Linked DNA regions of Drosophila melanogaster. The protein of the gene in region 1 interacts with the protein of each later gene in a pairwise test. Each region holds a gene or a part of one and is shown on either strand. Other genes may lie near its edges.

The links.
Region 2: the proteins of CG11635 (region 1) and CstF64 interact in a two-hybrid assay, tested with the Drosophila melanogaster proteins (one large-scale study listed by BioGRID).
Region 3: the proteins of CG11635 (region 1) and UbcE2H interact in a two-hybrid assay, tested with the Drosophila melanogaster proteins (one large-scale study listed by BioGRID).
Region 4: the proteins of CG11635 (region 1) and tth interact in a two-hybrid assay, tested with the Drosophila melanogaster proteins (one large-scale study listed by BioGRID).

The regions. Positions count from the first base shown.
Region 1 is NT_033778.4:8,356,781-8,360,278, reverse strand, and holds CG11635 (uncharacterized protein), read right to left. Parts: upstream 1,742-3,498; 5' UTR 1,673-1,741; coding exon 812-1,672; 3' UTR 807-811; downstream 1-806. Other genes in the region: spaw (spacewatch), read left to right, coding at 1-766.
Region 2 is NT_033777.3:18,657,462-18,661,830, reverse strand, and holds CstF64 (cleavage stimulation factor 64 kD subunit), read right to left. Parts: upstream 2,214-4,369; 5' UTR 2,127-2,213; coding exon 1,990-2,126; intron 1,927-1,989; coding exon 804-1,926; 3' UTR 705-803; downstream 1-704. Other genes in the region: Cpsf73 (cleavage and polyadenylation specificity factor 73), read left to right, coding at 1-15, 77-519, 583-672.
Region 3 is NC_004354.4:8,087,712-8,096,037, reverse strand, and holds the start of UbcE2H (ubiquitin conjugating enzyme E2H), read left to right. Parts: upstream 1-1,973; 5' UTR 1,974-2,263; intron 2,264-3,924; exon of another isoform or gene 3,925-4,113; intron 4,114-5,890; 5' UTR 5,891-6,177; coding exon 6,178-6,729; 3' UTR 6,730-8,326.
Region 4 is NC_004354.4:13,612,363-13,618,607, forward strand, and holds tth (toothrin), read right to left. Parts: upstream 4,225-6,245; 5' UTR 3,619-4,224; coding exon 3,314-3,618; intron 3,058-3,313; coding exon 2,076-3,057; 3' UTR 831-2,075; downstream 1-830. Other genes in the region: Tango2 (transport and golgi organization 2), read left to right, coding at 5,072-5,213, 5,452-5,574, 5,740-6,040, 6,235-6,245.

The DNA.
Region 1 (3,498 bases):
TGCACTCAACCAACCCAAAATCAGTGAAAGTTTGAATCATGAGGAGGAATCAAATCAGTCAGTGGATAGAGCTAGTTCCCATCAATCTGAGCTAGGTGTTGCAGATTCTATGCATTCGGAGGTAGCCAGTGCGCTCTCAGAACCATCTGGATTGGGTGATGTAGAGAGCCTAGATCATAGCGAGATTTCGAACCAGTCTTTTGATTCCGAACTAACGAGGGATATCACCGATCAACTTAAATTGGATCACGAGATGGAAGCAAATCAGTCTTTGGATTCTGAGTTAACCGGTGAAATAACTAATCAATCTAGTTCGGTAGTTTCAGAGTCTTCGATTTCCGATGAGGACTTCGGGGAGGAGCTAATAAAACAATCTCACAAAATCGAGCAAATTGCGTCTGCTGGCGATACTCAAGAGTCCAGTCCTTCAAAAACCAATGAGAATACTCCCAAGACTGATGACACGCAGGACACTCAGCCTAAGGAAACCATACACACCTACAGGCCCTTTAGGACTATCGAAGTTCCTGCCAAGAAGCCTACTAGTAGCCTTAGCACCGAGTCAATTGAAGAGCAGCCGTTGAACCAGGAACCCCAATTCGGCACAGGTATCCATTTAGATAGAGAACGGTACAAAGTTTCTGCTCAGCTGACCGAGTCCGAGTCCCGCTTACTTATGCGCATGGCTCTGAAGCAGGCTTTAATCGATCTGGAGTCTGGCCAAAGCAAGTACAAAGCAACAATTCTGGAGGCTGAAACCGAGTAATACAAGAGCACCAATGACCAAAGAAATAAACATAACCTTTAAAACTTATTTTTTATTTTTATCCTTGTTCTTATCTTTCTTCTTATCCGTGCCCTTATCCTTCTTATCCTTTTTCATCTTCTTGAGCATGTCTTTTCTCGCCTTCTTGGCCTTTTTTATGGCACTGGGACAGACGTGGTTCTCACCATGAATTTTGACCCACTGACGACCCCGCTCCGCTTCGCAGAGGCTCAGGGGGAATCGGCACTCGCACTCGCGAGGTCGATATGGTCGCTTGGCCAGCTTAGGCTGCTTACAATCCGACCAGCAGGGCATCGGTGCACACAACCTGCGGCAGCAGGAGGGCGTCTTGGCCGCGTGGCATCTGGGCGGACGACGTCCTGGCACGCATCGTGCCAACGGAGCGAAATGGGGACATGGTCCTGTGGCTGTGGCACTGAGCGTTGTCCGCTCGCGCCGCTCGGCCACCCGACGGGCGGGGCTCAGAGCCTCCAGCTTGTCGTAGGCGCAGATTATCTTCTTGCGGATCATGAACTTGGGGCACTCCACCCAGTGGCGCTGGTAAGGACCGTTCTTGCAGGAGGGACGGTAATACAGCTCGTCGAATGAGGGCAGTGGTTTGGTGCAGTTGGGTTCGCAGCACAAGTCATTTGATCGGCTGACCACGAAGGGGTACGGCGGAGGCAGGTTCTTCGGCGGATCCCACATCGACTTGAACTTATCCCCTTCGGCGCAGAAGGCGGCCGGAATGCAGTGCGTCCGGATCTTGCATTCTCGTTTGGCAGAAGGAGACTTTGGTGGAGATGGTGACGATGGTGGCTTCGGTGGACTTGGAGGTTTTGGGGGTTTATTCGAGGAGCCGCTCTGACGTGAGCTGAAGCCCCTTAGTAGGGAGGACCAAAACATTAGCCGAAACTTTTAATGAAAGTGGAATTTTGAAAATTTTTGTATACCGTAACGCCGTTACATGAATCGCTAAATTAAAATTTTTTGCTTGGTATCCGAAATTTCGATCGAGGCCTACTGGACGAAAAAGAGCTGGTTGAAAATTGGAGAAAATCGGAAGAGGGTCCTGTCGCACACATTCACTTCTCCTGCAACTCAACTTCAATGCAACGGCGACAGGCAACACAAAATTGCAAACAGCGGACTGCGCATGTTTAAATTTAATTGAACATTTAGCCAAATTAAAATGCATTTTATTACGCAGCCGCTGTTTCTGGCCTGGAAATGCAAAACAACGCGCGCCCAATCAGCCAGGCCAAGTCAAGTAAATCCAGCGGAGTTGGCCATACGCGCAGATAGACGGAGGAAAAGGCAGGCCACACTGGAAGAAATACAATAAACATATCCAGAATTCGCATATCTACTCAGTTCAGATAATCAACTCGAGATAAATCCATCCACGATGATAAACAAACAGTAACAAGAGTATTGAATGTATACTATTCGTCCGTATTGGTTGCAATTTTTTCCAGTGTAAAGACACAGGCACGGCCAAATCGAAAGACGCTGACTGGGCCTAGGCACGCAACGGTTATTCAGTTTTGTCGGTTTTTCGATTTGGCCTTAAGTTGGCTAGGCAGTGCCTATGCGAAATTTGGCACAGATTCGCGGCAGATTCGATGCTATTCGGCTGGGATCGGATCGGATTTTGGATTGGACCGAGGCGGAACTGCGAGTTGCAAACTGGTTGGAGACAGGCCTAGCAAGCATGCGTTCTGCAATTGTTTAATAGCCTAATTAAGTGTGCGAGCGAACAGGTTGGCCAGGCCGGGAAAGTCGGAAAATCAGAGAATCGGAAAAGTCGGGCATATGCAAAGCCAAAGGAGCAGAGCGACTGTCATGCTTCACCAAGAGAGATGTGATGTGAAGTGATGTGACGGGACAGTGACTGCCATGCGGGTGGTTTGTCAGCTGCTAATGCCAGTCTGTCTTTATTTTCCTCTTTCTATTTTTTACTCCTTGTTCTGGCTTGCAATTACATTTGGCTGTTAATTGCATTATGCATATTTATGGTAGCTCTCCGGCTGCAGCTCCTCCCCCGGCAATCGAGTTAGGTCCGGAGCAGGATCAGGAGGCAGAGATGAGCAAGGAGCAAGGGAAGCAGACGGATCCGGCGACAATGCCGGCTCATTAGCATACATCAGCGCGTTAAGCTCGGAGCGAGTGTCTGACTGAGTTACGACCAGCTTTCCACTGTCTGCAGCTGCCGTCATCATCACCATCGCCATCGCCATCGCCATCGCCATCGCCATCATCATCTTCCTCGTAGTCATCGTCATCCAGTGAGTGGCTTAGTGGGTGTTGCCCTCTAATTTAAATTAAAATATGAAAAATACTCAACGAGTGAAAAGGGGTTTGGTTGCGAACAAAAACATCACGCTGCGAAAACTGAGAAACGTGCAGAAAAATCAAATCTAAAATAGCTGCTGGACATGGCATAATCAAATTGTGCGCACTGGGAGAGTAGGGAAAATCATATTTGCCAGGAGATTGTTGTCGCTGTGTGTGCAGCTGCAACTAATTATATTATTAAGATTTAAGATAATTTTTTATGCTTCTGCATTTCACAGATAAAATGAAACCAAAAAAATATAGAATAAGGCATATAGAAAGGTATAGCTCATATTTCAGGCACTGGCAAATAAATGGCAACATATCACACCATATTATAGAATAAACACAAATTGTATGATTCCAGCAATTTTCATAAAATATGTATATCTCTG
Region 2 (4,369 bases), on another chromosome or scaffold:
CTTCTGATCTGGGCAGTAAGTAATAGTTAGTTAGTTTCTTTGTAAAAATGTCGATTCATTTAAATAATTCCCACAGAATACACGGATATGAGCATGTCTGTTGTAACCCAACGCCAGTCGATTCCCTGGGGCAGCTCGCTGAGCACTCTAGAGCTACTGCTGGATCGCATTGGAGCCGGATGCGTTGAGGTGCTGGAGGCGGAGCGAAAGCTGCGCGTGTTCGGCTGCATCGAGCTAACTGTGGAGCAGAAAATCATTGTGATGGAGTGGCAAGCGACGCATGTGAATGATGTGTACGCCGATGCCGTTCTTGCCTGCATCATGCAATCGGAGTTGGGCGGAACAAATCTGAAGGGTGCCACAAAGCAAACCAAGTCAGAGGACTCGCGCTTTCGGGAGTGCCTAATCGAGACGCTACAGGACACCTTCGGCGACAACTGCGTGCCAAAAATGTTCGAGGGCGATCTGCTGCCAGTGACGGTGAGCGGTAAACGTGCGGAAATAAATCTGGAAACCCTGGTGAGTGTTCGTCGAAGGTGCTTTTTAAAATCGAAAAATATCGTTAATCTACAATCTTTCCAGGCCATCAGCTGTGCCGAGGATGATGTGCTGCGACAAATGCTCAATACGACGGTTCAGAAGTTACACCAGACCCTAGTCTCCGCTCTTTGAAAACCATTCTATTCCGCTTAATAAATCTCCTTGTGTTGAAATGTTCTTTTTATTAATTGATTCAATGTTGAAAGTACTATAGTATGCATGAGCGAAATGGTGATTTTTCATTTGTTTCAGCCAGAGTAGTTTCAGCGCTGGGTACTCTTCGCAATCTGCTCTTTGAGCATGACAATACTGACCCGTTGCTCGGAGGGCAGCTGCGCAATCTGTTCGTCGGACAGCTGCAGTACCTGCATGATGAGGGCAGCCTTCTCCTGGTCGGAGGCATCCGAGGGCAGGACTCCATGGGCGCCTAGTCTGCTCTGCAACTGCTGAGCGGCCGCCTGCTGTTGTTGTGTCGGTGGCGGCGCTTGGGGGATTCCTTGTGGCGGCGCCTGCTGCTGAGGACCAGGTCCTGCCCTTAACCTGGGATCCATGGGACGCTGGCGCGGATCGCTGGGATAGGGGGCCGGTGGCGCCTGCGGAACGCCCTGCTGCTGCTGTGGGGGCATCTGGGCACGAGCTCGGGGATCCATCAGCGGCGGTGGCACTGGATTGGGTAGAGAAGCTCGCAAATCCTGGTCCATGCCACGGCCCATCATCCTGGGATCCATCGGCATGGGTCCACCCGGCACCATGCGCAAATCGATATCGTTCGGATGGACATTGGCCGGGAAGCCAGGTCCGGGAACGGGCATTGGTGGCTGGGGAGCCTGTTGCTGTTGCTGCGGGATCTGCACCTGCTGTTGCGGAACCTGTTGCTGACCCATCATGGTGTGATTCCCCGGCCCCTGGTGCGGATTGCCGCCCAAGACGGGGGGCATTTGGTTGGCCTTGAAGAGCATCCCGAGCGCCTGCTGAGGGTCCACGATCCTCATAACCACCATGGCCTGGAGCAAAGCGTACGCCAACTGAGGATTGAGCATTAGCATCTGGCGTGCCTCCGATGGATTGCTCACGATGCAGAGCTTCATCTGCTTCATCAGCTCGTACATTTGCTCCGGCGGCAAGGAAGCCACCGTTTTGGTGATGAGCTCGGGAGCATCCTCTGGTTCGCAGGGCTCGCCATAGGGATTCTCCACCTGGGGTCCCTGAAGCAGCTGCTGCATCTCCATGCGCGACTTCTCCGTACACGCGTTGTCCACTCGCAGTGTTCTGCCGCCGATCTCATAGCCATTCAGATTCCGCATGGCACTTAAAGCCGTCTCCTGGTCCTTGTACTCGCAGAAGCCAAAGCCCTTGGGTTTGCCACTTTCCCGATCAAAGACCAGTCTGGGGGATTGAGAATAGGAGGTTTACAGTGAGATATTGCATGGCTCTAAGTAGGGAACTCACTTCAGTGACAAGACCGGGCCCACTTCGCTGAAAATCTCCTTTAGCTTCTCCTCGGTGGCCTCGTAGGGTATGTTCCCCACAAAAACCGACCGCATGGACTTGTCCATTATACTTTGTTCCTGCGCCTTATCTGCCATATCTGTTGTTTGTTATTATTTACTGCACAAACTCGACAAAATCTTAGCAAACGTTGACAAACTTGTCTAAAAAATTCCCTGCGTTCCGGCTTGCTGTTTCTTCTTCTTCCTTGAATAATTTCCCTTACCAGGGATTCATACTTTTCATATACTTTTTGGGAAATAAAGCGGTATGGGACGCAAAATATTAAACAAAGTGTAATAACAGATACGCAAGCCATTTTATTTTATTTTCTTATCTAAACACCTGAGAAAATAATTAACAGTATTGGTCTAATTTTTGGGATTCTCATCCATTGCCATCACTTAGAAACGTAGTATTTAGCAAGAAAATAGCTAAATGCCCTGCTTAGCCAAAAATACCACCACTGCTAGTGCTGGTAAGTTCCCGCAGCCCGCATACGTTTTGCAGCACTCCAACGCCTGGTGTTGTAATTTTTCTTGTCGCAAGGTGAAAACGATTTAAACGGTTTTTGATAGTGAAAAGTGCACCAATATGCACGAATTGTACACCAAATTGTAGATGAAAGTGGCGTTTATTCGTTTTCTATGCGGCAATAGACAAAAAACGGCTCGAAGTGCATGAAAAACGTGCTTGAAAATATTACTTTGTGTGTAGCCACACGCACTCCAACACACACAAACGCACACACACACAGACAGAGGGAGATAAACGCAGCGATGGCCTCGCAGTCGCACTCGCACATATAAAAAGCTCGCTTGTATATTGGAAGAAGGAGCGCACAAAGCGGAAGACGAGAGGAAAGATTTCTGTGTCATTGAACGAGAAAAAGAAGAGAAGAGAGCCTCCTGGCTCCTGGTCCTCCTGTTCCAGTTCCTCCTCCAACTCCACTTCCTCTTCATCTTTAAGCGGCCGCAGGTGCACCACGCTCTTTACATTTCCAAGGATACGCTCTCAGCCGCTCTCTCTCTCGATCGATACTGGTAATTAGCTGGCGTCCTCTCTTTGTGGAAGTGTCATTCCATTCCATGGACGAAACGAAAACGAAATCGATGGCAATGGCTGGTGAACAAAAGCGGAAATATGTGCATTTTTAAATTGTGTGTGTCTGTAATTATGTGAATAATAATCAGCAGAAAAAAATCGTACAATAAGTGGCAAGATCAGCGACATTAACGCACACAAACAAGCGCGCGTGTGTGCACACTGGAAAAAAGGTTGGCTGGCGATTGTTGTCGCTGCAAACTGGGATACTGGAATAAATCATAATGCATTTACGCACCGTGTGCTCCTCAATTTTTCGACAGTCTGTGTGTGCATGTGTGCATGTGGGTGTTGTGTGTGCGTGGTGTGTGTAACCTTTGGCAAAGGAAAAATCAATAGCAACAGACGTAGACATTTGTTTGCCGCTGTTTATGTGCAGCCCTCGCATTGTCCTTCGCCCCCAAAACAAAGAGCCACCCTTGCAGAGATGGCCAAATCCCAAAAAAGAAACAAGTGAATGTTGGTCTGCAGACAGACTATAAATAAAAGCAAAAGTTATCGCAAAAGGCAAGCAGCAAAAGGCAAACCAGATGAACGGCCAATAACTCGTCAGCAGGCTGGGTCTGGGTCGTTGCCTCTTTTTTTCCGATTCTGATTCCGTTTCTTCCTGCTGCTCTGGCTCCCCGAGAGAAAAAAGCTGCTCCAGAAGTTGTCTCACCCATCTGCAACCGGCATTCCAATCCGCCATTTCCATTGCCCAAACAGGACCTTCTAATCAGAATTCTTATGTTGCTCTACTCAGAGAATGTGGTTAATATGAACGGATTCGAATATAAGACATGGCTTTACTAAATCAATAGAATCGATTTAAAATGGCACCTCTGATTTCGAAAATGTGGAATCGACTTTAAGGGTGACTGTGTTGAGGTTGGGTCTGCTTTGTGCTAGAAAAGTTTATTGACTCTTGTTCTCTCATTTTGATCCTTTGCGATCCTCAATTATTAAATATGCCTTGTATGTTTAATTGTACTTATTTGGTAGCTTTCTAAAGAACAAAATAATTACTGGTAAACCAAAATCATTATAATCATCATATTAGAAATGCACTCGCTGTTGAAACAATTTTATTTTTATCATGCTTTTATTTTGTTGGCTTTTAAAGAAATTACTCACTACAAGAAACTTCCAACGAACGTTTTTTTACTGATTATTTGTGCTACCCCCGATAGTAAAACATTTGTGGTTTTAATTGAGTTACTTTCAACAGTTAGGATGCACGATGTGCGAAGGGTTCTTC
Region 3 (8,326 bases), on another chromosome or scaffold:
GAAAGAATGAAATCTTTCGAGGAATATAATATTTATAGCCTAATTATACACCTATAATGAAAATATACATTCATGGCGAATGCGAATGAAACGTTAATTGCAATCTACAAGTAAACAATTGATATATTAACGATGTATGATCGCAGTATTTGCAGCTAGCAAAATCCAAATCGATTCGAATGTAACGAGCATATAATGTTAAATTTGTTTATATAATCTATGAGATGGAGAACTAAGCCGAACAGGAAATCATTGACAATTGTTAAAGCTCAAATACTTATTAATTGGAGGCTAAGGAGGCTGGAAATTGAAAATAATTAACTATGCAAGAGCATTGAAAGTTAGGACAACCATTTGCATTTCTCACTCACTAAAAGACACGAACACACTGTGGCACTTGCATTTTGAAGGTATACAGAATTCCGAATTATATTAAAACAAATTATTGCAGTACCAGTTTTATTTTTTTTTGTAATACTTGTTAATACCTTTTCTTTCTGAACTATAGGGTTTTAACCTCCAGCAAACCAGCCACATTTTCTCTATATATCTCTCACTATTTATCAAGAAAAAATAACAACACAAAATTCCCAGCGGATCCAACGAAAAGATCCATAATTTTAAATTTTAATTTTAAGGCAACTCTATTGTATTTGTTATGTTATTTAGTAGTTAGATTCGAAGAGGCCTAGGACCTCTCAATCTAGTTTCAAAGCAGGAATATTGTATTTATTTCTGATAGCACGATCCGCTGGGATAAGTTATATCTATCTCTATATAAACACATACAGCCAACAAGATAACAACATAAAGAGTTTTGGACAGATTTCAATGGCCTATCTTTGTTATTGTTACGTCACAGTTATAAATCTTAAAAGTTAAAACAACGAAGCTCAAATGAAAATTAACATTTTAGACCAGATTAGTAATGAAACAAAATTAGAGGGCGGAAACCACATATGATATATATTCTTCATTGGATTTGGTTACCTTAAACGTAGTATAGAAATCTTGATATCATTCCACTTTAAAAAAGCAATACCCTTTTAAGTTTTCACCCCCTTCAGTTAACGAAAAGTGGTTTAGAAAACACTGCCTATAGCTTAGGAAAAAATTGAAAATTCGCCTCAGCCTGAATTGAAGTAAAAGTTAACGTAATTATAAAATTCAACATTTTGCCATAAATTTCTATTGTGGTTTCCCCCCTTAAAACCATTGCGATCCAATTTGATTTAAGTTTTAGAGATTCCCATTGTTATATTGTTTAAGAAACCAATTTTAATCAAAACGCATGAGCATAATATTAAAAGATCTATTTAAAAACCCCTGTATGGATCTAATTTTTAAATTAATATTAAAATTGAGACAAGCTGCGCTGATTCATGAACGAATTTAATTTGCCAAGTTTCATAACGAATAGGAGTATTTACAAACAGTTAAAAACTAAACTAAATCAGAAACTAAAACCAATATTAGCCACGAATTGTACCTTTCGATTTTGAATTTAAATAACACTCTCGGTATTTGCAAGAAAAATAAAAGAAATAAATAAAAACAATAAGGCAAAGAGTAAACGAAGCTGCAATAAAAACAATTGATGTTTAAAAGTACTACGTTAACAAAAACAAACACGTTTTACGTCAAGCAAATAGAGCTAATTTAAAAGATTGTTATCCTCTCATTTTTTAACACGAAATAGAGATCCTAAATACAGAAAACCAAACAAATTACAAGTTTTAATAAACGCATTCAAAATGTAACGGAACGAAATTACAATTGTAAGAGATGAAAATAATAAATGCAAAAATTCAAGTATACATTCAACGAGTTTAAATTTCAAATTCTGAAAGCTGATTTTTTTTGAAAATTGTACGCAGAATAATTTAGGTTTGAAACTCGACTTGTGGCCATTGAAGCTTTGAACCACTTTTGTTCAGTGGTATATTTTGAGAATCTTGCGGTATATTTTAACGGTCATCAATGGTCACACTCTGCAGGCGCTGGTCACACTACAAATTTTCCAAGTCTTTCATATTCCGGAAAACAAAACAAAATTAATTAAGTAATTAGACACGAAGTATCTAGGAAAATGCACAGGGAATCACGGTGATTAAACGGAAATGTGGAGAAGTATCGAAGCGTAAGAATCGACGGCGACCGTCAGTCCACAATAACACCACCCACGAGCAACAATAACAACAATACAACTAAAACGGGAGGCAACTGCAAATATACACACACCGAGAGAAATCAAAATAAAAAGGTACAGAATATGTGTGTGTATGCATAATTGTTTGATGAAAAATAGAATTACTTTATATTTAAAATATATCCCGGATATTTGCGAGTGTGTGTGTGTGTGGGAGAGTGCGACAACAACATCATCAGCCATAGACGAACAACAACAACAATAGCAGTTTGACCCCCGCACAGCTGTGAATGTTTTCCATCTCTCTTTGGCGCCCGCAATCCCCATCGCCCTCTCTCTCTAATTTCGCATTCTGCTGCCTTGAATTCAAAATCAAACTTCCAATCGCCACATACATATTTACCTCTGTTTCCAGCAATTCGCCGTTAGTCGGGAGCCCTAAGCTGAGAACGTGCATTTGTACATATACATATACATGTGGATCTCTATAACTTCCCCCGTTAGCTTAGTTGCAATATTTTCTTTGTTGTGCTATTGCCATCCCTTTTGCACACCACCCTACCCCACCTACCCGAAAACTACGCACTTTGCTTTTGGCCTGCTTATTGCGTTGTGTTTTCGATTCTCCCCCTGTTTTGCGTTTCAAAAGTCTTATCAGCACGAACAATTAAATGTGCGCTTTAAAGCTGAGTAATAAATTGAATGCTTTTACATCAACAACAATTTGCTACCATTTTCTGCCCCTCCCCCACACAAGCGTACACACACACACATGTGCAGTCAATGACCCATTATGCATGTGTGGGGGGAGGTTGCAAAAACACGAAAAACGAAATCCACTAAGACGTCTTCCTAATTTTTGACTTTGATTTTGAGTTTGCTTTCGAACCTTTCGCTTAACCGTTGCATTTGACCTCGTTAAATCTCCTCCTTCATTTGCTTTTGGCATGTGTATTTGTATATATTTTGTTGCTAGGCTCCACACGCACACACTAAGGCAGTGACATGTGTGCAATTTTGAAGGGCATCGCCACTTCGGCTTTTTAGCCTCTCCCGTCTCTCTACCCTTTCAGCCCACTCCCCCTCCTATTACCATTTCCCGTTTCATTTCTTTCTCTAGCTTCTTGTTTTTCTGGCTTTGCTTTGCCTTTGCTGCATTTCACAGCTGTCGCTGTCCTTGATTATAGCTTTTCTTTGCTTTGCTTTGCTTTACTTTAGGGGCTCTCTTCGTCCAATTTGTTGTTGCTCATCGCTTTGTTATTATGATTTTCCTTTGAAGGGGGTCCATTACACTAAGAAAAAAGAGCCACATAAGAAGTTAAAAATTTAACGTAAAGAAGCTAACAAATTTATTCCATTTACCATCTGGTTTTGCCTTGAAGTATGCAATATATTCGGCAGACTACATTTTGTTTCTATTTCACCGTTTTCAATATGTTTATATGAGGAATTTGGTAACTATTTTATTACTTTTTTATAATTATATTGCCTTTATTTAAGTACTCATTAAGTGTTTGGAGCTGCCATACGCAAATATATTTCTAATTTGAAATTGAATCGCAGTTTAGTTTTTCCCGTGTACTGCACTCAGCAATCTCTCTCTCCCTCGTCCCTCTTCTTCCACCCGTCAGCCCCCACCAACCTTCTCTCTTTTGCGCTTGCTCTCCCGATTGTCGCTCTCTGCTTTATGCTGGCGTCGCTGTCGCCGTCAGATGCTCGTGAGCTCCAACGTGCGCTGCTTTCTGCTTTCTGCTTTGGGGGCTCGAAACTCTGTTGCCAGTTAATTTTCAGTAACTAGTTGAAGTAGACAACAAAACGAGCGAAAACGAAAACACACACATATGTAGGCTGATATATGTGGATAGGGGAGACGGAGGGCCAGCAACAACTAAAAACATCATCACCAAAAACCACAACAATAGTTGCAAGTAAATAACAAAGTCACAAAAATCCGTCTTATATAGGTATATTTGCAAAAAGTTTAAATTTAAATATTTAATAAGTGTGTGATTATTTAACGGTGATGCCAATGGTGATATTATAAATGAAGACATTCATAAAGAGTGAAAAGAATTCCACCTCCAAGAGACAACAACAAAAGCATCAAATTGCAGCTGACTTTTATTATTTTGTTTGTTTATTATTGATGTTGCTGCTGCTGACTTGGTTGCTTGGTGATCTTCCATGTGGTGGCATCACAAGTACACACGCACACTTCCACTTCCACTCAAGAGTCTTGCACAAAAGCAATGCAATGCAAAGGCAACAACAGCGACAGCGACGAGAGACAGTATTACTTCGCTTATTGCGTACAGTAAGGCCAATAAAAAGCAAAAACAACAGGCACAGTAATGCTTCTCCACACAGAAATCGAAAGAGAATTTCACAATTTGTTAAACTAACGAAGCCAAACCGTGACAGAAAGACAGAAACGGAAAGATTTTTGATATGTGGTGGCCATAAGGAAAAAAAGAGATAGGGGGCGATAGGGGAGCCAGCGCACACACACACACACACACACACAGAAACATACAATCACATACAAACACTTGACAAAGTACAAGAGAGTAACAGCAGTAACAGCAGAATTAGCTCATCCCAAAGCGTAGAAGAGTGGTGAAGAGAGAGGGAGAGCCATAGAATGGGGCACAGTGGGGTAAAGCGATATATTCAGAAAGAATATATTATAATTTGAAAATTTTATTTTTCCTGAAATTTGTGTAACAGTTTTCATAATTCCGTAACGTTCGTTTGATTTACGTTGCTGATCGATCTGCTCATGTTTCTCACATCCCCACTGTACATTTGTTGATTTCAAGATTGCGGTGGGGCTGCCCCTCTTCTACTCTCTTTCTGGCTCTCTCTCTCTCTCTCTCTGGCAGTGCTCCGTGACTTTTGAGCAACAACATTAAACAGCTGAGCTTGTTTGAAAACAACAGCCACCCAACCAACCAACTAGCACAAAAGCCCTCACCCACCGAAACGGGAAACGGAATTGAAATTGAAACGAAATCGCCAAGAGCAAGTGAGTGGTGAGAGAAAGGATGAAAGAGTCTGTGGAGGGGAGGGGAATAGAGCATAACGGTATCCCGAAAGTATGCAGCAAAAGTCCGCTGAAATCCGTTTCGAAGGACGGCGATTTTTGCAAATGGCAATGAGAGTGAGAGAGCTGGAGAGAGAAAGCGGGAGTGGTAGTGGGTGGATTTGGGCGACGACGTCACAGATTGCTGACATAGTTTCCTCATTTAGGCCAAGTATGCATGTGCATGTTCTCTATGTATGTGTGCGAGAGCAAGAGATTCGCTGGTGACCTACATAACCATGAATATAAATATATATACGGGACATAGATAACTCAGAAGGTAACTCGACCTCCTCCAGATCATATCCCCTGACTTGGCGCCACAGTCCCAATTGGCTAAGTTAAACTTTTGCGTGATAAAATTACCAGTAATTAAATGTGCATTTTTAGAGAACATCTTATAAAAAAGGATAAAATTAGAAATGTTAGGAACACTTTAAAATTTAATATATTTATTCCTTAAAAATATCCTATCTATATTTTTAACTCCATAACGTCTGAAAAACTATAAACTTAGAAAGCAAAATTGTAAATAGGTATTCAAGTAACATCCCAATACTTCCTTAAGTTGATGTCTCTATGCTATAGATGACACCACCTGACCTATCTCTAATTTGAATATCCTTGCTTATCCTTGTGTCCATTAATTGCCATTGCAGGCAGCTCCCGTTTTGCTCTGGACGGTGCCAGTGAGAGTTGACGAATGCGGAGCAGTTCGTGGCTGGCGGAGCAGCAGCTGGGCAACCGGAAGCGGATAGCGGATGTAACTCAATAGCAATATTTCAAAGGAACAACATTAAGCATACAACTTATAGATAACAAAGATAACACCGCCTTAGCCTTAGTGAAAAACAACGAGGAGACGACCACTCCAAAACCAAATCAAATCAAACCAAACCAATCAAATCAAAAGCCAGGCAACTACAATCCCAAATAAACCAACAAAATGTCCTCGCCCAGTGCCGGAAAGCGACGCATGGACAACGATGTGATCAAGCTGATCGAATCAAAGCACGAGGTGACCATCCTGGGAGGCCTCAACGAGTTCCACGTCAAGTTCTTCGGTCCAACGGAGACGCCCTACGAGGGCGGCGTGTGGAAGGTGCGCGTCTACCTGCCCGACAACTATCCCTTCAAGTCACCGAGCATTGGTTTTGTGAACAAGATCTACCATCCGAACATTGACGAATCCTCGGGTACGGTGTGCCTGGATGTTATCAATCAGGCCTGGACGGCGTTGTACGATCTATCGAACATATTTGAATCGTTCTTGCCGCAGCTGCTCACATATCCCAATCCGGTCGATCCGCTCAATCGGGATGCGGCCGCATTGTACCTGCACGAGCCGGAGGAGTATCATCGCAAGGTGGCCGACTATGTGCAGCGCTATGCCACCGAGGACGCGTTGCGGGCGGCGCAGCAGGAGCGGGAGAGCAGCGACAGCGAGTCGAGCATGTCCGACTACAGTGAGGATGAGGCCAGGGACATGGAATTATAATATCGGTTGGACCGCCAGCCTACGGAACTACCGCTAACACTAACACTGACAACAGCCTAATACAAATGCTTCGAGAATCCATTTTCCTGCCACCCAATTTCCCCAAACAAACACACTCACTTATACTTTCACCATACCCCTTCAGTTGGCGATGGAACAAAAAGCAACAATATATATATATATATATCTATATATATATATACATAATTGATAAATGATAATTGGATTTTAAGATAGAAAGTGATTCGATGATGGCGTGTGATGATCAGCGCACACACGCAGATACATATAAATATATACATAATATATATATATATATACACTAATGTAAGCAGAAAGAAAAACAAGATTTAAAAACTCTTAGTTTAGCCATCAGTAGCTGATAACAAAACGGATTGGAGCAACGATCGCAACAGATCATAGCAGATATATAGACCACAGTAACAAAAAAAAAATGGAACGGATGGAAGAGCAAAATAGAAACAAACAGAATAGAAACACAAACAAACAAACAAACAAAACCGATAAAATACAGATAGCAGAGATAAAAGCATAGATGCAAGCGCAATTTAAATGGTTATAGTAAGTGCACATGCAATGCGAAATTTGACGAGAAATTGCTTTGGCCTTGATCTGGCATTAAACAGACTTCGATGCTCGTCGTTCTTTAGAGTTTAACAAGTTGATAGAAAACGTAAACACAAATACCACCATCAAACATAAGTTTTTGGAATGCCCTCACCACATATAAATACCACACGACGATAACCCAATTATCCAATTTGCAATCCAGAGGAACGGAAACCTTAGAACGATCGATCGATCAGCAAAACTGCGGATTATTATTTGTTCTTATGTAATAGTGTGTACTTTATATGTTTGTCTTGTTTTTGTTCCGTTTAATTGTAAGCGCGAATTTTTTTTTATTGTCTGTATATGTGTATTAAGATATTTGGAAACCGCAGAAAATCATCAGACTTAGCAGCACTTTCTCTGCCGAAAAGTAAAAAAAATATATATCAAAAGGTGAATACGATCGATACTAAATGAAATGAAATAGAAAGCCAAGACAAATCCTAGAGGAAAGGCATGGAGGCGATTGCGTGGAACAGACGGAATAATCGTTGCAGTTCTTTTTCTTGTTAATTAATCTTATTATACGGTTATTATGTAATATTTTAAAATAGGATTCGAATTGATCGTGTAATTAAATGCAATAATTCTTATGTCTAACTTATGTCACCCGTGTTTAAGCCAAAAGCATATATTTTTTTATTATAATACATTTTGTCTTTACACCACATTTACTACATGATTTATTGTTCTCTCTCTCTCTCTCTCTCTCTCTTAGTCATCTCTCTCCCTCGTTCTCGCTTTTTAAAATTGTTAATCAAATTGGAGAAATGGAGAATTGGAGAACATCCGGTGGGTTGGAATTTTGATGAGGATGTGATTTTTAGAAGGCGGGTTCTTAAGTGAAATCAAATGAAAGTGCAGATATATAGACATTAGCGATCTACTGTACTATGTACTAACACTATAACAATACTTATGCCTAAGTCTAACAGCAGAATTAATGAGTAATCTGATAGTTGTA
Region 4 (6,245 bases), on another chromosome or scaffold:
GAGGAGCTGCACTCCGCTCTCCGGGAGCGTGGTCTCCAACAGCTTCAGCTCCAGCTGAATGCACTTGGAGCACCACGGCGAGGAGCCTTCGAGTTAAGTTTGAGCGCCGGCGGAATGGGAAAGCAGGAGCAGGTGGCACTTTGGTCGGGTCTAAAGCGGGGTCCACCACGTGCTCGCAAGTTTCCCACTGTGGAGGAGGTATACGATCGGATTGTAGGGATTCTAGGTGACCAGCAGGAGTCCAAGGAACAGATCAACACGCAGAAGTTATCTAAAATTGATTTACCGGGGTCCGAGGCTCTAGCATCGCCAAAGAAGTCGGAGTCCACAGAGGAAGCACAGGAAAACGAGGTAGGGAAGGCCCAATAAGTCCAGAAAAAATTAACTAAATATTGTTTTTATCAAAAACGAAGGCACCAACTTCAACTTCAACTTCGCGTAAATCCAAAAAGGAACAGAAATCCGAGGAAGAGCCAACTCAAGTCGATTCAAAGGAAGCGAAGCAATCCAAAGAGTTGGTCAAAACGAAGAGACAACCGAAAGCCCAAAAGAAGCAGGCAAAGGCATCCGAATCCCAAGAAGAAGTTGCCGAAGATAAGCCCCCTAGCAGCCAGAAACGGAAGCGGACCACCAGATCCTCCACAGACGAGGCTACTGCCGGTGCCAAGCGGAGGAGGTAGTTGTGCCCAAAACAAAGCGTTCAGCAATAGAGCCCTATGATCGATGATTGGCAAATCCTCTCGAGGAACCGATCGTTGAGAACCCCTTTGCCTTTGTTGATCGCTCAATTTTGGATCAAAAACTACATACATGAAAAATACTCGAGCATTGTTATTACAAAATATATTAAAACATCTTAGAAACCTATTTCCATTTTTGTTTTTTTTTTTCATTCTCTTGTGGTTCATTTTTGTCTGATTTTTTGCCTCTCATTCGTTAAAATTTTGTGGACTTTGATTTTTCTTCCAAAATGTACATGTTTTCCTTTTTTGATCTTATTTCAATTTTGTCCCTTCTTAGTTAGTTAAAATTTGTTTTCGTTTTTAGCTCAGCTTAATAATTATGATCCTAGAGAAAAAATTTTGGTTTTACGAAATTGTTTTTACTTTTAGCTTCTTCTAATGCTAGAGATACCCTACCACTTGCCTAAATAGATTACAATCTGAATTGTCTCTTTTTTAACTAAAATTTTGGTTAAATAAAAAAAATTGAATATAATATGTGGGGAGGGGTGGGGAGCTAGGTGAAATAGTATTAAGAACATGCAGCAACAGAAACCGAGAGATTGCGATTAGGTGGAGAGCCAGTCCAAAAGGTGGACTTGCCTTAAGTAGAGTCGCAAATACAATGCATGCAAGTATGTATATATATATATATGTATATAATGTCTGTACACCCATATATATAATGTACAATATAATGCAATGGTCTGGCGAACTGCTCTAAGCAAAACTTCGGAAACCAGATGTGAAATATAGTCGTGTATTGCAAAACTATACATAGTTCAAATTGTGCTGTTTCACTTATGGCATAGATGATGCCCGAAAATAATTGATTACGAATTGCCTAACGATGACGAAAAAGGTTCTTTTTAAATTCATTGTCTAACTTATACAACGTTAATAATTGATGGCCTAAAGGGTTTCCTACATTACAAAATTGCTCGAAGAATATTTGCTACATCCATAAGTTTCCGCTCAAGTTATCCTATAGTAGAAGTTCACCAGTCCATTGCTAGTTTAAAAAACAACAATCAATTGGCTATGGGAACGTAAAGTTAAGAGAGGCGAAACATTGGAATTGTATTGGCTACGGCCTGGTGCGCGGTTCTGATCGTTATCCTGATTCTAATCCTGTTTCTGTCCCTGGTCCACAATGTATTTGTTTCCTTTCTTTCATTTCTTGCTTGGCTTTTATCCTTTTGTCGGAGGGGGGCAACAAACAGTGATCAACTAAGGCTTAAAAACTATATTTAAATTATGTGCGAAAAAGTAGGTCGATTCAATAGGCGAGAAAACATTGCGAAAAACAAGGCTTTGATTGATTACACGTCCAGTTAGTTGCTGATAGAGCGGTTACAGATACTTCCGATAGTTGCGCAGATGGGCGTTCGCGTCCTCGACCACGCCCACCGCAGCAGCGGCACTCTCGAAGGATGGTGGCTCGATGACCATGCCGGGACTTGTCGGATCGCAAGACGCTCCAACGGCGCTATTTGGCCCCTTGGCTCGTCGCCTGCCACGTGTTCCCGCTCCCCGCGATCTGCGGCTGTTGGCCGAAGCTCCCGATGCTCCTCCTCCGCCGCCGGATCCCGAAACTCCCGCTAAGCCTGCTCCCAGGCTGCCGCTTAGGATGCCTCCGCTGGAGATTGGTCCTCCATTGCTGCCTGGCACACTCTCGCCAGATTCAATGGCCTCCAGCGATGCGTCCAGCGCCGCATCCGTCGTTGTGATACGCGACCTGGCCGCTGCACTGCGTCTCCGCGAGCTGGAGCTACCGCCGGAATTGCCGCCACCGCCGGCGCCTCCTCCACCACCACCGCCGCCGGAATCTCCACCTCGCTTGCCTGGTCGCCGCTTGCGCCTTTTTTTGTTACCATAGCGCGGATCATAATCGTACTCATCATCCGCCGGCGATTTGGGCTCCTCCAGCGAGTCCACATCGTTCATATCCATGTCATCGTAGAACCACTCCTTGGGCAAAAGCTCCTCTTTGACGGCCTGCTGCTGGTGCTGGTGCTGCTGATGTTGTTGCTGTTGACTGTCCTTGCTGTCGGATGTATCACCGCCGGCGGCACCCAGCGAGCTGGACTCCTCCAGGCTGAAGGCTCCATTAAAATCGTGGGCAGTGTCACTGTGCAGGGAACCAAGTACGGCCGGCGCGGCTCCGCCGCCCGTAAGCATATTGAGCGTTAGGGAGGAGCTGCTGGCCAGGCTATTGCTGCCGGGCATGGAGCCCACACCGCTGGTCAGGCTGCTCAGTCCCAGATTGACGCCGCTGGCCACCAGAGCTTCGTGCTCCTTGCGTAGCGCCTGGAAGGGACGCTCGGGAAAGCGGCTGTATAAGTGGAAAGTTCGTTATTAGCAGGGATAAATATGGAGCTCACCCAACGAAAAATGTAGGATTTGATGAGATTGAATGGCATATACACAGATGATATTCTTCTAACCTAACTCGTTTTAAATAAGATTACCATAGGTAACAGACTCCTAGATTTCCAAGCTCTAATTTGCTTCGCCAGAGTTATACCTAACTTTTCCTTGTGCATGTGCCAGTCACTCAAATCCCGCACCGATTGGTTACGATTCCTCACCTGTACATCTTGCTCAAGTACTGACGACGGCTCTTCCGCCAGCGGGCCGCCGGATACGTGTAGATCTGGCCCTGCCGGAAGCCGGGCATCCGCTGTCGCTTGTCCAGGAAGAGCTGCGAGTGGTTCTGGGCGACGCCTGTCTGCGGATCGAGGAAGGGCAGCCGGTGGCGCCGTTCGCTGCACAGGCGCGTGTTGAAGTTGGCACTGTACTCGATCGTCTCCCGGTAGCTGACATCCTTCAGGAAGCTCTCGATCTTGGCCAGATTCGGCATAGAGACGATCTGGATGTTAACGGCGGAGGACATGGCTGTTCCTGGTCCTAATCCCACTGTTGGCTAACCTCAGAGTCCGGCTGTGCCGCTAATCCATCCCAGAGTCTTGGCAATTTCCGCTCCGCTCCGCCCCGTTTCTTATCGCAATTTTTTTCCAGTGTGTTGTGTTCCGTTTCTTATCGCTTTTCGCTGCCTGTTTTTTTTATTCTTCTTCGTCTTCCACCTCTCCTCTCGACCGACACATACACGCACGCACACACACACACACGCAAAGCTCTCTATCGATGTGACCCCGCGCCAGGGGGCGTGGGCGGCAGTGGGCGTGGCGAGGGCGATACGTTTAGATCGCGATCTGCGGCCGGATTTTCCAATTGTTTAATTGATCAGAAATATTAACGTCGTTTTCACTGCTCTGCTGAATGCCAGTGTTACCAGATGGCGACATGATTTTCCCCCCAAATGTTCTCGACCGACCGGTATTTTTGTCCTAAAAAATCCACTCTTTCGCTTTAATTTTAGCGATCAGTTTTCTTACCAATTTAAGGGCCTGTATAGGTCTGTTAGTTAATTTATGCATTGCAGTGCATAGCTATGTAATGGTATTTTCTAGTTTTAATTACAAGCCTATGTTACAGGGTTTTTGGTTAGTTTTCAAACATCGATAAGTTGTAAGCCAATCGATTGCCGGGCCCACGGTCATACAATAGAGATGGGCAACTGGCGATAATGCCTACCTACCTGTTACGCCAATTTCAAAATAGTAGTTTGTTATCTGGATCGGCACAGGCGACAAAAAAAACTAATATGTTTATATATACGTTATATATGGCTTTGGAAATAAATTACACAATCATATTGGTCAATCATTGTTTCAGCGCACGATGAGGAACTAAAATCTTCAAATTTAAAAGTACAAATTAAGATAAGTCATAGACTGCACAAATAAATAATTAGCAATTAATAAAATAGCTAAAAGAATATTGCACAGGGCAGCAGAGTGTTAACGATTTTCTTATCGATTCTCCTGTCAGCTGGCAACGCCAAAACAAAACAAAAACAAAATTAAAAGAGAAATCAAAACAAGGCAACCCGGTCATTGAAATTTCAGAAAATACTGCTTTGTTTGCGTTAACGGGAATGCTTTTTGCCCCGTAGATATGTATATATCACATAGAGGCACGGCTCACAGAGAACACCCACCAATCCAAACCATTTACATTTACCACTTAGATTAGCTGGTCTCGCAAACAACGGATAAGACTGTATATCAGCTGTACGTACGTACGGCTATTTGGTGATAAAACCGGCGCTATAGTTCCACTGCCACAAAGTAACAAAGAGAAGACTGAGCCGAACAACCTGCCATTTTGATACCGACGCCCCACCGAGATTAAAGCCCACTTTTCCGGATCCCATTCGCAGTTGTCCCACAACCTCAAGGCACTACAAATCGCAACAATAGCCAAATAAGTATAGGATTCCGACGATGTGCGTGATATTCTTTTGTGCGGACTCGAATCCGCAACCGGGTGGCTACAAGCTCATCCTGGCCTCCAATCGGGACGAGTTCTTTGCCCGCGCCACCCTATCGGCAGCCAAGTGGGCGAATGCCGATCATGTTTACGGAGGTAAGTGGTGGGGCTTATGCCCTTGAATGCCTATGCTTAGATGGAGTATAATCCTTGAGAGCTTGTATTCATCAAGATGTTACCTATAGTTTAGTCACTAAGATGATTTGATAGCAGTTTGTTAGAATGAACACCTCTCACAAGATCTGTTTCCCAGCAACCTAATTGGATTTCAAGCCATCTTACCCATGAGTGCGGGATCAACTTGAGTAAATATTTATGTATTCCCCCATTTCAGGGATCGATCTGGAGCCGGGACGCGAGGGCGGCACCTGGCTGGCGATCGGCCACTCCGCTGGCTTCTTTAAGGTGGGCGCCCTGCTCAATCTGACCGGCGAGCCCAAGCCACGCGATGCAGTTGGTAAACCCATTTGAGCTACTTACTAATCCAAATTGACGCGCACACACACGCACACACACTCATCCATACACCTAACACTTGGCCCGAACTAAAACTTTCACAACCGCGACCAAAGAAAAAGCAAAGCAAAAACAAACTTTCTTCGTTTCTGTTTTCTGTTTGAAGCGCACAAAAACATTTTGCAACCGCATAATCACAACAGCAACAGCACCGGCATTAACCTTTGCCCCAAGACCACCACCTCCAACAGCTACCGTCATCCGAATCCGAATCCAATTCAGAACCCGAATACGAATCCGAGTAGGGGGCAATCGAATAACGAACATTTCTTACTAGGGCGCGGCATGATTGTGGCGGACTATGTTACCCGGGCGGACGAGGAGCACAGCATCCTGAACTACAACGAAAGGCTGCTCAAAGATTGCACCAAGTATTCTGCCTTCAACTTTGTGTCCATCGAAATTGGGTGAGTCTGCGCCCATTCAGGTTAACCTGAATTATTATATATTCTAATTATATGCATATTAGTATGTACATATATTGCTTTATGCTGTCTTTATCTCCGAATTATACGTATAAATTCTGAATAATATGCAATAACATTAGGGAACCATTAGCGAAACATTGATACCATCTACTGCACGCCTTCGTTCTCAACAGATCTGCATCCC